2 linked regions of the Macaca mulatta genome follow. The protein of the gene in region 2 purifies or fractionates together with the protein of the main gene of each other region. This does not show direct contact. Links are inferred from orthologs where the notes say so. Each region holds a gene or a part of one and is shown on either strand. Other genes may lie near its edges.

What was found. The genes of interacting proteins can lie anywhere in the genome.
Region 1: the proteins of SEC31A (region 2) and SCYL1 purify together in Homo sapiens (affinity purification with mass spectrometry; 3 studies listed by BioGRID and IntAct, counting the BioPlex papers as one, with this or other methods). This does not show direct contact. The link is inferred for Macaca mulatta from reciprocal best matches to the Homo sapiens genes SEC31A and SCYL1.

The regions. Positions count from the first base shown.
Region 1 is NC_133419.1:8,863,976-8,867,626, forward strand, and holds part of SCYL1 (N-terminal kinase-like protein), read right to left. Parts: intron 755-3,651; coding exon 596-754; intron 1-595. UniProt on the Homo sapiens protein: Regulates COPI-mediated retrograde protein traffic at the interface between the Golgi apparatus and the endoplasmic reticulum. Involved in the maintenance of the Golgi apparatus morphology.
Region 2 is NC_133410.1:50,932,714-50,936,364, reverse strand, and holds part of SEC31A (protein transport protein Sec31A), read right to left. Parts: intron 1,931-3,651; coding exon 1,760-1,930; intron 1-1,759. UniProt on the Homo sapiens protein: Component of the coat protein complex II (COPII) which promotes the formation of transport vesicles from the endoplasmic reticulum (ER).

The DNA of each region.
Region 1 (3,651 bases), on a different chromosome or scaffold from region 2:
CTCTTTCAGGAGGCTGATGAAAGCTCTGGGCCACCCCCTACAAGGAGGTACCTTTATGCCATATGCAGAAATTCTGCCTGCAATTTCTGGGGGTTCTTAGCTATACAGGACTTGCTTGTTGTCTTCTCCCCTCCTAGCAAGACTTTCAGGTGAAAGGGTTCTCCCCAAGGTGAGGAGGGCAGGGACTGGCCGGCGCCCATAAAAAGGTGGGCTGGGGTCTGAGGAAGGGGTGGAAGATCCAGCCCCCAGAAGTCAGGTGAGCTGAGTGCTAAGCAGTCAGGAGGGAGATGGCAAAGTGGGGTGGTGAGTAGGTAATCCCCTGGGCCCTGGGAACCAGGGTGCACAGGTCAGACCCAGGGAAATGGAGGAAGGGCTGAGGGTTGTGAAACCAGAAGTTTGTGGGAAAAGGATTTTAGGGGCAGAGTCTCTCCTCCCCAGGGGACAGCTGGTCAGGTGCCTGTTTATAGACGCTGGCAGGAAGCTCCTGCACATATGGGCTTGGGTCTGCCCTAACTAGGCTGCCCTACCCCAGGGCCTTCTCTTTGGCAGTTCCTGTGCACCTAGCCAGCCTTCTGGGTCCCACAGCTCCACTCACCTTGAAGAGGGGCGTGAGGACAACGGCCCCAGCATTGCCGAACTCGAAGGCGGTCAGCAGCTGGGGCAGCACCTTGTGCCGACAGAAATCCTCAGGGAACGCATCCAGGCTCTTGCTCAGCTCCTGGAAGAACTTTTGCTTCTCGGCTGGCTCTTTGATCTGGGGGAGTGAGGAGGGGACCCAGGGAAGAGATCAGCCTGGCTGTAGCCCAAACCCAGCCATGGGTGAGGACAAGAACTGACGCTTATGGGCTCCAGAGCCTGGCTGCCTGGGTTCAAAGCCCAACTGTACCGCTTAAGTGCTGCATAAAATGGGATAACAGCTCTACTATCTACGGGATTGTTCTGAGAATTCAACCAGAAAATGCACATAAAAGCTGTAGCATAGTCCTGGCACACAGCAGATGCTCAGTCCGTTAGGGACTATTGCTGTCATTGTGGCCACCTGACCTGTTGCTGGGAGAGCAGCCACTAGGGGCATCAGAGGCATCACTAGGGGCATCAGGCCCTTTATCAATGTTGCCTCTACTGCTCCCTACCTAGGATGTGAGCACAGAGGAGGAAACTGAAGATCAAAGAGGTGAAGGGGTTTACTTGGTTCCCCTGCCCTGGCTGGGTTGGGCATGAAGTTCCTGGTAGGCCATAGGAAGGCAGGGACTAGGTACACTTTACCCCCAGACCTCATCCTCCCACTGAGCTAAAATGGACCAGGCTGTCAGCTCAATGGTCTACTTTTAGTCCTCCTAACCCCCCTTTGAGGCCATGATACCCCAACTCATATTTCCTGAGCACAGATTATGTGCTAAAACCTTTACACAGATTATCTCAGTCCTCTTCACGACTTTACGAGGTAGGTGCTAATGTAATCCACATTTTACCAACAAGGAAGCTGAGGCACAGAGAGGGCAAGGAGCTTGTCCAAAGTCACACAGCTAAGAAGCAGTCAGAGGAGGGTCTGACTCAGTGGTCTGGTGCCTCTCCTGTGCTGTACACTTCAAAAGATGCTGTCACTCCCCCCATTCACAAAGGGGGAGATAGAGGGTCAAGATCAGCAGCCAAGAGTGGCCAGTATTGTGTTCCAAAGTCCGGGTGCTGTACTGCCATCCCCACAGCCACGGCTTAGCCTGGGAGAGGCGACCTCTGGCTTGGGACAAGGAGGACCTAGATGGCCCTCAAGCAGCTCAGACCAGCGTGGGAGGCAGGCTTGGTGCTCTGATCACATGATTCAGCGGGGCCAAGGCCCAGAGAGGCTAAATCACATCCAAGGTCATACATCGAGAGTCACAGCTGGGTTCTCTCCACCACGCCACCCAGCAATGGGAAGAGGGGCCCCTGGGCACTGCCCTCTCATGTTCTCCGGGAAGCTCCCGAAACCCCATTTCCTATGAGGCACATTTCAGGGAGAAGGGCAGCTTGGCAGAGCCAGCCGTATAAGGAGAACTCCACATAACAAAGTTCCTGCTGCCCCGACACTGCCCAGGAGGCAACAGGGCCTCAGCATTTCCAGCAGCTTCTCCTTCCAGGTTCCCACCCTCCAAAGGCCCTCCCCGCCCCGCAGCATCTGAGTCAAGATTCCATGGCATCTGCTGGGTCAGGGTCTGTGGAGTGCCTGCCACTCTCCTCCCTTGCTCCTGATTCTGATTCTCAACTCCCGCTGTTTTCCTCACACACGGCTGGGTCCAGGCATTGCATGGAGCAGAGCCTCCCTCCCTCCTCCCTACAGCAACCCTGCGGGCCAGTGCACCTGGATGCTCCTCACTATATACATGCGGAAACCAAGGTTCAGAGGCAAAGCAGAGGGCTCCCTCCTCAGCATCTCTCCGTGTGCTGTCGCCTCTGCCTGGAACTCCTCCTCCAGGTACCATCCCTCTGGCTCCCACCATCATGATCTTCAGGCCTCAGCTCAAATGTCACTTCAGAGAGCCCATCCCTGAACACCCACTCCAGTACTTTCTTTCCTGCACTGGTTTTTTCTTTTTTTTTTTTTTTTGAGACTGAGTTTTGCTCTTGTTGCCCAGGCTGGAGCGCAATGGCACAGTCTCAGCTCACCGCAACCTCCTGCCTCACAGGTTCAAGTGATTCTCCCGCCTCAGCCTCCCGAGTAGCTGGGATTATAGGTATGCGCTACCACACCCGGCTAATTTTCTGTATTTTTAGTAGAGACGGGGTTTCTCCATGTTGGTCAGGCTGGTCTCGAACCCCTGACCTCAAATAATCTGCCTGCCCCGACCTCCCAAAGTGCTGGGATTACAGGTGTGAGCCACCACACTGGTTGGTTTTCTTATTTATGGTGGTTTTTTTTTTTTTTTTTGAGACAGAGATTCGCTCTTGTTGCCCAGGCTGGAATACAATGGCATGATCTTGGCTCACTGCAACCTCCACCTCCCAGGTTCAAGCGATTTTCCTGCCCCAGCCTTCCTGAGTAGCTGGGATTACAGGTATGCGCCACCATGCCCAGCTAATTTTTGTACTTTTAGTAGAGATGGGGTTTCTCCATGTTGGTCAGCTGGTATCAAACTCCTGACCTCAGGTAATCCACCTGCCTCAACCTCCCAAAGTGCTGGGATTACAGGCCTGAGCCACCGAGCCCTGCTCTTATTTATGGTTTTTAATGTTTTCTGTCTCTCCCCCAGCAAGAGTTCCCAAGAGTGGGGATCTGGTCTGTTTACTTGTTGCTAGATCCTTGAGGGCAGGGATCTAGGTCTGCCTCACCTTCCTCCACACTGAGCTGGAGCTGCCCACCCCCCTGCAGCCAGCACAGGGTGTTATACCCCTGAGGACCAGAGCCAGAATGTGCATGTGGAGTGACTGGAGTAACCAGAGCCGGCCCTAAATGCCTGCTGGGCGCAGAACACTACACCATGCACTTTCAATTCTGACTCCTCATTGGGCCCCTCTGAAGTAGGTACAGGTTGAGTCTCCCTTGTCCAAAATATTTGGGACCAGAAGTGTTTCAGATTTCAGATGTTTTCGGATTTTGGAATATGTGCATTATACCAATTCTATATATACATATACATTTTTTTTTTTGAGACAGAGTCTCACACTGTCGCCCAG
Region 2 (3,651 bases):
ACAGTATATAATAAATACAACATATAAAATGTGTGTTAATGGACTGTTCATGTTATCAGCAAGGCTTCCAGTCAACGGCAGGCTAATTTTAGGGGTTAAGTTCTGGGGAGTGAAGTCATGGATTTTCAACCGCACGCAGGGTCGGTACCCCTAACCCACATGGTTCAAGGGTCAACTGTAAAGGTTAAGCTGTGCTGCTCAAAGTGGAAGTGGAACTCCTACTGATCTGGCCTCCCTCTCCTCCCTTTGACCCTGCCTGTTAACACTGCATTAAAACCACAAGCTACTGTCCTCATTCATTCAGTATATCATAAGCTTTAATCAAGAAAATCACTGCTTTATGATTCACTTTGTCTTTTCCTATAACATTGGTAAATCAAAGTATAACAAATCTTTCAATGTTTTTATCTTTTTCCAGAAAGATAAAGCTAAGGACATAAAGAGCAAATATTCTCTTTTCCTAATGTAGAGCTTGCCTTGCTTCAGTACCATGACAGGTAGTTTGGTTTAACAAGATGCTTGGGAGTTCTAATCCCAACTTGGCCGGTAACCAGCCATGCAATGCTAAGAAATTCAAGCTCTGTGTCTTCAATTCTGGTGGGCTGCTTGACATCTCTGCTTCTCAGTTTTCCCAGCCATCATCTGTTCTGCCCTACCTATGTCATAGACTTTCTAAGTCTAGTGCAATCTCCATGAGCGGGGGAATTCAGTCTATTTTGTTCATAAATATACTCCCATAGCAGCTAGAGCAATGCCAGGCACTCATGGCAGGGTCTCAAAAAAATATTTGTCAAATTAATGAAAAAAGTCAAAATAGAGAGTATTCTAGATAGTTAACAGTTATATTCAAATGTAATCTCTGCTGATTAAGCACCAATCAAAAACATAACAGACAAAAGGACATTAATTTTTTTGTTTTTCAAGATTTTATGTTTACTTTTGCTATAACAAAACGTAAAAAGACTCCATCAATCCTATCAGCAATTTGTTCTGTTTTAAAACAGGCAGAGTACCTGTTAACTTTGCTATCAATCAAGACCATTTATTACCTATGGAAAAAATATTCTTCATTTAAGTATACGAAGGTTATCTGCTGGTCTGGAAATATGGAAGTTTCCACGTGAAATAGTAAAAGATACTAAGAAGCCACATTTTATGACACCAAACATTTGGTAATTTAAATAAAATTATTAGTTCTTTTCACATTCCACATAATCTAAAACTTCACATACTTTTGATCATTCGTTTTTCTCTAACATCTAAATTGTCCAAAAAAAAAAAAAAAATCTGTATTCTGGATATACTTTATTGTGCAAATACAGAATACACTAAGCCTAAACCTATACTAATGATTAAAAATACTCAAAAAATACTATCTCCTAAAAATACTTTATAAAACAACCATATCACCAAGATTGTTCCTGTTACTTTACAGCTTGTTAGATGACTCAAATAGAAGTTTCAGTAACAGATACACATGTGTAAGTAAACTTTGAGTGACAGAGAAATAGAACAAATCTCCCTAGAGAGCTTAAAACCAATTTATATCTAAAATACAATCTCTTTGACCAAATGAGAGAGATGATTTCAAAAAGTAGATCATAAATACAACTTTAAGAATCTAGAAAACAGATCTATTATAACAATATATTGTCTAGTTTTACCATATCAGAGAAGGTCTCCTGCTGAACAAATGAAAACCACCAATTTGAAGAGAAATACAAAAGTGTTCCTACTTCATCTGGATGATATCACTCACATGGGGATAATATTGTTGAGTTTGAACTCTCGGCATCTCGTGGTGGCCAACTGGTCCAGGCCTGCCCTTGGGCAGCTGCTGTTTCTCATATGGAATTTTAGGTGATTCATGTCCTGCTACAGGCTCTCCTTGTGCTCTACAAAGTCTGTCACGAAGCTGCACGATATTTGGCTAAAAAGGAATGGAAAAACAGCAGACTGTTAGAGTTCACCCAGATATATGACAGCACGTTAATCTTCTTAATCAGATTATTCATCAAGATAACCCTTTTTGTTCATAATGCTGGGTATTATACAATAGACTCTGACACACAGATTTGACATTGTGCTTTCTACTACTCAAGACTGGCACCAAAGGTCCATGACATACAGTGCAACTTGTAATTTAACGGAGGCAGAGATTTGAATTATACCTACCTCATGGTTACTATGCAAGACCAGTATCACTTATCACTAGTACTCTTTTGATGTTTTTTTGTGGTTACCTAATGCTCATAAATCACAAAACTACTTTAAAAACTATAACTAAGGCCAGAGGCGGTGACTCACGCCTGTAATCCCAGCACTTTGGGAGGCCGAGGTAGGAAGATAATGAGGTCAGGAGATCAAGACCATCCTGGCTAACACGGTGAAACCCCGTCTCTACTAAAAATACAAAAAATTAGCTGTGTGTGGTGGCGGGCGCCTGTAGTCCCAGCTACTGGGAAGGCTGAGAATGGAGGCAAGAGAATGGAGTGAACCCGGGAGGCGGAGCTTGCAGTGAGCCAAGAACGCGCCACTGCTCCAGTCTGGGTGACAGAGTAAGATTCCGTCTCAAAAAATAAAAAACAACTATAACTAAAAGAGGCCACCAAAGAGAATCAACTACTAAAGATGGTTATTGAAGAAAATGGTGATTTAAGAAAGAGATGAAAATGTTAAAAGAGATTTTTGAAATAAAGAGTAAGATGTGAAATTCAGATCTGTAGCTCATATAGATCTACATGCATAGAGACTTACAAAAGTATGAGGTGATCATATATATGCTCTAAGTATTAACAAATAACAAAAAGGCAATGTGTTAAAATGTTTCAGCAAGATTTTAGTATCTTTAAAAATTATACATTCCTATACATTTGTTAAAGGTTTAAAGGGATCATTTAAGTGTTTTAGGCATATTTTATTTGCCTTTTACAGGGGAGAATTATATATTACAATGCCATCACAAAGTTTCAGGACATACTTCCCCCAACAAAAAAGGCAGGGTCTACTGAGATAAATAGGAAATAACATCAAAATTATGCTTTTTGGCCTAAAGAATGTTCTTTAAAGTCCAAAAAAAAGAGCATGAAGAATAATGTATAGAAAATGGATGTGCTTATAAATGGTACTGAAAATGAATTAATCTTAAGCTAGATGAGCTAGGGGTCTTAAGGTAAATTAGTCTTAAGATAAAAATTCTTATAATGTATCTCAATATAACTATTTACTTACAACTTTTTACTTACTAAGTAAAAAGTCTTAACAAAATTAGTATGCCAAAGTCACCCTAAAGGAAAAGATTATGTATCATCTATTCTACCTAACATTCCCATCAACAATTCAGAAACGAATGAGACGGATCTTATAGTTAGTGTTTACAAAACCAACTAGAGAGTCATACCTCCATAGTCCTGGAGAATATTATGTACTTTTACCCAATGAAATTTATCAATACTTCCCTAAAACAGACAAAATACTAAAAACAATTGACTAAAAAAAAAAAAACAAAACCAAAAACATAAAAAACAGAATAAAGTGATTAATAAAAAAGTATAGAGACAAGACAGTATCTGCAAGGCTCAAAATCAAGCTCCATCAGACACAAAATGCAGATATATTCTTGTGGAAAAGTTTCCTCAAACCTCACCCGTA